Macaca fascicularis: one gene and its partner. The protein of the gene in region 2 interacts with the protein of the main gene of each other region in a biochemical or structural test. Links are inferred from orthologs where the notes say so. Each region holds a gene or a part of one and is shown on either strand. Other genes may lie near its edges.

Region 1 (3,367 bases), on a different chromosome or scaffold from region 2:
CAGGGCAGGGCCTGATGCTCCAACCTTCCCTGAAGCCTGTCTCCCCCACCCCAGAGCCTCTGCCACCCCCCTACAGCCTTCAGGAGGTAGAAGTCTCGGTGGTGGACACAGAGACCTGCCGCCGGGACTACCCTGGCCCTGGGGGCAGCATTCTTCGGCCCGACATGTTGTGCGCCCAGGGCCCCGGGGATGCCTGCCAGGTGAGCCTGCCAGGCCGTGACAGAGGACGGGGGTGGGTGCAGCCCAGGGAGGGGCTCCCCACCTTCTCGGCTCCCCATGCTCGCCTTCTCTGTCCTCAGGATGACTCCGGGGGGCCCCTGGTCTGCCAGGTGAACGGTGCCTGGGTGCAGGCTGGCATTGTGAGCTGGGGTGAGGGCTGCGGCCGCCCCAACAGGCCAGGGGTCTACACCCGTGTCCCCGCCTATGTGAGCTGGATCCGCCGCCACACCACAGCGTCAGGGGGCCCAGGGTCTGGGTACCCCAGGCTCCCCCTCCTGGCTGGTTTCTTCCTCCCCGGACTCTTCCTTCTGGTAGTCTCCTGTGTCTTGCTGGCCAAGTGCCTGCTGCGCCCGCCTGGGGACGGCGCTCCCTTCCCCGCCTGACCGATGGCAGGAACCCAAGCGCATTTCTTAAATAAGTTACTATTTATTCCGCTCCGCCCCCTCCCTCTCCCTTGAGAAGCTGAGTCTTCCGCATCAGATTATTGCAACATTTAACCTGAATTTAAAAGCACACAAAACAAAGGTGTCAACGGGAATCTCGCGGCCAAAGCCCCCAGAGGGAGGGGAGGCCCGATATGCGTCGGTGCCGGGCGCGTTACTCCACGGAGTCGGCTCCTTAGTGATGTGACGTCACCATCTCCCAGAGTCACAGGACGCTTGTGGGAAGGCCCGAGCGGAACGGAAAGGGTGGTGGCTGGAAGGGGAGGGTGGTGAGGGCGTGACAGGCGGACAAGAACTCAGACTGTGAGTGAAGGTGGCCTTGGGCCGCGGTGGCCGCACCTGCTGCCGGCAAGGGCCCAGGCCCCCAGTGAGTGTCCTGTAACAATGCGCAGCCTGAGAGGACGCAGCCTGGTACCTTCCCCTCTCTGGCGGGTGCCTGGTCTTCGTCCCACAAACACAGCTTCTCTCACGACGGGACGTTGACCCAGCTGCCCACACAGCCTCGGCTGGCAGCAAAACTCCAAGAAGCCCGAACCAGAACGGATGGGGGCTCGCGGGGCCCAGCAGCCACTCCTGCTTCACTGGGCAGAGAACCAGGGCCTGGGCTGTCATCCTCCCCGGGCCTCTCTGCTCACGACGGGACCCAAGTCAGGGTCCACGCACGGCTCCGCCTGGGCCACCACCCCAGCGGGGCCCCCAGACCCCAGTGCCAAAGCGCTGTGCGGCACCAAGCCCCGAGCTACACGGGGTCATCTGTACCATCCCCTGGGGCAGGCGTGGCTGAGGGGGACCCTGGTTTCTCCAGAGGACACTGGGGGACTGTGAGGTACGGCCCCCGCCTCTTCTCTGGGGGGTCACTGACGGGCATGGGAGGGTCTGTTTCTGGGGGTTCCAGGAGCACTATGGCCCCTGAAGAGAAAGCTCTGGGTTCTGGGGTCACGCTGTGGCTACCGTCCAAAAAAGGATCTCCACTGGGGCCCCCGAGGTCCAGCGGCTCGAAGGCAAAGCTGGGGACGGTCAGGTGCTCGGCCCGGCAGGAGGCCTGGCCCCAGCGCTCCCCCTTGGCTGCAGGGTCCCCTCCGGTGCCTGAGCCCTCCGTGGGCTCCAGGGAGTCCCTGTGAGGGGTGGCCTCACAGGACGGGGTTCTGCGCCTCAGGGTGGTGCTGCCGCCCTCCGCTGCAGGGGGCCGCGCGGAGCCCTCATCCTCCGCCGGGGGCTCCACCGAGATACAGGGGGGGCTCATCTTCTTCTTTCTGCGCGCACCCAGAGCGGGCTCGGCCTCGGGGCCCCAGGCCTTGGCCTCCCCAGGCTCCCCGCTGCCCAGCTCCGCCGAGGGCCGCCACTGCTCGTCCGCGCGGCCCGGCTTGTCCAGGAAGCCCTGAGCGTCCACGCTGTAGAGCCTGCGCAGGTCCCGCTCGCCGCCGGCCACGGGAGAGGCTTCGGGGCCCTGGGGCTCGGCCGCGGGCTGCCAGGGGCGGGCGGAGCTGGTGATGTGGCTGACCTCCTCGTCGGCTGGATCCGAGGCCTCGGCCTCCTCTCCGCCCGGGGCTGCCGTCCGGCTGGAGACGCAGCGCTGTCCGAAGGTGTGCTTCCGGGTGCGGGTGCTGGCGGGCCGTGGGGAGCGTGGGGGAGACTGCAGGGAGCCCCCCTGGGACACCGGCCTCACCAGGGTTTTCTCGCCAGTCTCCGCAGGGTCCAGGGTGTCCCTAGGGCCGTCAATCTGCCCTTCCAAGGAATCAGCGCGCACAGCCTCCTGTAGGATGTGGAGGCAAAGGGAGGAGCACGAACCTGGGAGAGCCCTATCGGTGGCCGGGGCCCGGGGACCCCTCACCATCCAGGTCCTAGAGAGGCCAACGTGGGCAGGTCCCCTGGGTGGCTCCTGACCCTCGAGATGGGGCTGGAAGCCACTGGTGTGGACATCCCAGTCTCACTCCTGACCTGTGAGGCTCCTGGGGAAAGCCTGTACCCGCTACTCTGCAGGCACAGATGCCACGGCCCCCAGGGGCACAGAGCTGAGGCTACCTCCCCACTCCGGGACACCAGCAGCCCAGCTGGGCACCCCCAGGATGGGGCTCTCCTAACTGCTCCCATGCAGAACGGGGGTCTTGCACTGGGCAGCAAGAGGCAGGGAGAGGCAGGAAGAGGAGCTGAGGCTGCAAGTGGGTGAGGCTGGGACATCTGAGCACAAGCCAGGACCGGAGAAGCCGCTGTCTGCCCACCATGGGACACACGCCCACATGGGGCCTGGAAAATTGCCGTCTGCCTGTCATGGGGTGGGCCTGAGAAACTGCTGTTTGCCCACCCTGGGGCCTGAGGCTGTGGTTCCAAGAAGATTCGGGTCCCCGTAGCCAGGAGCTCTGTAGCCACAGACAGGCTCACAGGCCTGAAGACCCACCTGGGCCCAATGCTCCGAGATCCACCAAGCAGCAGGCAGAAAACTTTAGAGCCCCAAGGACCCAGTGCCACCCTCCCTGGGCCTTGTCCTCATCTGCTGGTCCTTCAGATGAGAGAGGGCATCCCTGTAAGCCCCCCACCCCCGCCAGCCTCCACTGCAGGCAACAGCTTCTCCTACCTGTCTGCAGAGCAGCCGGCTGAGGCTGGGGGAGCGGGCTGTGCCCCGAGGGGACAGGGCGTGGAGGGTCTCGCTGCTCCTGGCTGGAGACGACACAGCCAATGGGATCTGGAGGGAGGCACAGGACTCCACG
Region 2 (3,806 bases):
GCCAACAAGCAGCAGTAGAAGCCAGAAGGAAGGCTGTGAGCAAAAAAAAAAAAAAAAAAAAAATGCCTAGGTGTGGTGGCTCATACCTGCAATTCCAGCACTTTGGGAGGCCAAGGCAGGATGACTGCTTGAGCCCAGGAGTTAGAGACCAACCTGGGCAACATAGTGAGACCCCGTCTCTATTTAAAGAAAAAAAAAAAGCCACACACAGAGGAAGAGCTGTTTCACTGGCAGGAGCAGCAAAAGGTTGGGTAGCTGACTCCCCAAGACCAAAGCCCTTTCTCAGGTCTCACGCCCGTACCAGGTGCCAATGGGTAGGCACAAAGTGGGGCTATTTGCTGGCAATCCAAATTCTGCCCACAGATGACCCTAAGTGCCTGTGCTCCGCCATGACTGAGGGGGAGTGAAGACAGGCTACGCTACAAAGAGACCCTGTGCCGGAGGAGAAGAGGGAGTGGTTGGGGCAGGACAAGGTGACAGATGCAGTCAGCACCTGTGTCTCCCCCTACCAGGGCCCCTTGGTTCCATCAGGGCCAGATTACCAGCCCAACTGATTCAACCCTGGGATTCCAACCACAAAGGGATGAAAGAACAGGGAAGAGGCAGAAATATCCTCTGGGATGGCTGTGCCATAGACCCACAGCCTCAGGCCCCAACCAGAGGACTTACTTGACAGCTACTGACTTGGCCTGCAGGGCCGTGCTCCAGAAGTCATCCACCTGCTCAGGGGCCCCGTAGGCCTCCAGGCAAGAGCTGAAGGGCACCTGGGCCCGAACCAGTTCTGGCAGTGGCATCTTCTCCTCTTCGGCTTGCCGCTTCTTCTCCTCGTACTCCAGAAGCTCCTCTGGTGACAGAATGGGTTGGTGGATCCTTCAGAGTGTGCTGCTTCTTTCCCTTCTTAGCCTCTCCCTACTGGCTCTGTGTCCCTATTTCAGCTCCTCTACCCTTCCAAGGCACCCCGACACACGTCCAGTATGTCTCGCCTCTGTTTCCACGCAGCTCTGCTAACAAGCTGAGAGTCCACTGGGCGAGGTTAACCCTACCTACTCCTGGTGGCCGAGACTGGAACCTTGGTGGTGGAGCAGGGCATTCCATGGACTCTGCTCCCATCAGGTGCCCAAGCATTCCTCCTAGACCTTAGCCTCCCCCCGTGCCAAGGCCTTGCTGATGGAGCAACCTACCTTTGTTAAGGGCTGCATCCATGGGCACAGGCAGCTGCATGATGTAGTCAACTCGCTGGGTGTACTTCACCTTCTCTGTGGCCAGGCACTTAATCTTCTCCTCCACCAAGAAGCGGAACACTTCATTCGGATTTTCAGAGCTCCGGCAATTCCTCTATGGGAAAGAGGCAGGGTAGGGAGGTCTGGGCAGCCAGGGAACAGAATGGGGCCTGAAAGGTTCATGGGAGAGTCAGGGAGAGAAGACAGACTACCACTCAGAACTCAGGGACATAAGAGCAGAGCAGAAACCTTCCCTAATTCACCAACCCCTCCCATTTCTGGCCCCATCCCTGCACTGAGGGACTGTGCTGGAACACGCCTGTATTTTTCTTTATGAGCAGTAAGTATTCTCATGTCATTGTCTTTGGGCGCAATCTGAATTGAGCTTCCAGCCCATCAAGGGTAAGGATCATCACCTTCACTATCCTCCTTAGGTGCAAATACTGCTCACAGGGACATAGACCGTAGGGATTCAGGGATGGGACTGGGTTGGGGCTGACAGAGGGAGAAATGGGCAGGAAGGAGAGCGAGTAAACTGCAGGAAAATGAGGGTGTGCCATCTTCCCAGCCCTTACCTCCACCATGTTGATAAGGTGAAGGAAGAACTCCTGGGCATCCTGCTGCCGGTTGGTGGAGAATTCAGGGTGGCCCTTGCCGATGAGGGCCTTGAACATCCGAGGGGCAATGCCATCTTGAACTTCCTGGGAAGAGTCAGGGCAGGGACTCAGCTGGGGCTCAGTGGTCATCCCGGGGCCTTCTTTAGACATCTCCCAGACCTCAGCTTCCCCACAATCCCAGGGCCTGAAAGGGACAGAGTCCTAGACGCACCTTCTGTTCTGGCACCCGCTCCCCATCGCCCGACTCTGGTACTGGCTTGGAATACTCCCCGGAGAGAAGGCCATGGCCCAGCTTGGCCCTGCGTTAATATCCAAGAAAACATTTCACTTCAGTCAACTAACGACCCTGTATGTCCCCAACTCAACCCCCTGCTCGTGGCTCTCCCTAGCTAACTCTTGACAATGTGAAAAACCTTAGATTCCACAGGAACCCAGCTCAAGACAGACAACATGCCCAGAGGACAGTCACCCGAATACTCCTAATAGGCCAGGGGTGGCCATGCATGATGGCTCACGCCTGTAATCCCAGCAATTTGGGAGGCTGAGGTGGGCAGACCACGAGGTCAGGAGATCGAGACCATCCTGGCCAACATGATGAAACCCCGTCTCTATTAAAAATATTTTAAAAATTAGCTGGGCGTGGTGGCGGGCGCCTGTAGTCCCAGCTACTTGGGAGGCTGAGGCAGGAGAATCACTTGAACCCAGGAGGCAGAGGTTGTAGTGAGCCGAGATCGCACCACTGCACTCCAGACTGGCAACAAAGCAAGACTCCGTCTCAAAAAAAAAAAAAAAAAAAAAAACAAAGGCCAGGGGTTAAAGTGCTGTGCCCCCCAGGCGGTCATGGAGGAGGAAGGTATACGGCCATGACTCTCAACAGCCTTCCTACATAGGACCTGGTTACATACACCTGGGTGCTGAAGTCCTGGGTAGGGTCTGTCGGGGCATTCTGGAAGATCTTCTCCAGCTTATCCACATACCTAAAAGTCAAGGAAAGGACGGTTGGAGGGGCTCTGGCCTGAGCTCTGAGGAAAAGGGAAGGGAGCAAACATTTACTAATTCTGTGAATGGGCTCCCGTCAAGAGTGGGGAGTCGCTTCTCTCCAGCAACCTGCCTGTTCTCCCCTTCTCAACTATGTCCAGTGTGTAAGCACGCTGGGCGGCACAGGAGCCAGGGAGGGAGGCAGCCTGGGATGAGGACAAGGGCAGTTCATGTTCCATTAGACAGAACCTGTTGACATATTCTGAGCATTCACATTCTAATTGTTCCCCAAATTCAAAGGTAAACTCATTTCTGCTGAGAACCTGCCTTTCTTCTTAGTGTACCAAGCCCCCTTCCTCCCCAAGTGCTACATGTCCATGTTAGGTGCTCATCTGAGGTCACTGGCCTAAAATAAAGACCATCTGCTAACCCTTGAGTCTGTCAGAAGGCCACAGAGCCCGGGGACCTGGCACTCTGCACTATCAGCGGGGTTTGTGTGTTGGGGTGCTGGTGGTGCAGCTCCCTAACTTGCTCCCCTTACAGCATGTCAGCCAGAGTGTGACAGGAATTATTCTGTTTTTTTTTTTTTAAAGAGAAGACAGGGTCTCGCTATGTTGCCCAGGCTGGTCTCAACCTCCTGGGTTCAAGCGATTCTCCCATCTTGGCCTCCCAAAGTACTGGGATTACAGGTATGGGCCAACACACCTAGCTGATAGGAACTACTCTAAGATTAGAATCAAACACAGAGGTGCCAAGGGCAGCTGAAGGGAGTATGCCCAGAGGGTGCTGACCAGGAGGGGGCCTGGGGAAGGAGAGCACTACTCACTTCCTCTGGAAGTCAGGGATGCTGAAGAGCACCTGGACCACGGAGTTGAGGTAGCAGCTGTTACCCAGGTTCTGGATGCCTGTGTAGCCAGGCCCAAACAGGGGCTTGAGTGGCACACCCGACTCCTGGATCAGCTCCCATTCACCAATCCGCTGGTTCATGTCT

The links.
Region 1: the proteins of USP5 (region 2) and CACNA1H form a complex in vitro, tested with the Homo sapiens proteins (2 studies listed by BioGRID, with this or other methods). The link is inferred for Macaca fascicularis from reciprocal best matches to the Homo sapiens genes USP5 and CACNA1H.

Annotation. Positions count from the first base shown.
Region 1 is NC_088394.1:1,949,448-1,952,814, reverse strand, and holds the end of CACNA1H (voltage-dependent T-type calcium channel subunit alpha-1H), read right to left. Parts: coding exon 3,235-3,367; intron 2,416-3,234; coding exon 1,402-2,415; 3' UTR 626-1,401; downstream 1-625. Other genes in the region: TPSG1 (tryptase gamma), read left to right, coding at 4-602.
Region 2 is NC_088385.1:7,789,743-7,793,548, reverse strand, and holds part of USP5 (ubiquitin carboxyl-terminal hydrolase 5), read right to left. Parts: coding exon 3,642-3,806; intron 2,815-3,641; coding exon 2,743-2,814; intron 2,137-2,742; coding exon 2,049-2,136; intron 1,922-2,048; coding exon 1,796-1,921; intron 1,336-1,795; coding exon 1,182-1,335; intron 845-1,181; coding exon 670-844; intron 1-669. UniProt on the Homo sapiens protein: Deubiquitinating enzyme that participates in a wide range of cellular processes by specifically cleaving isopeptide bonds between ubiquitin and substrate proteins or ubiquitin itself.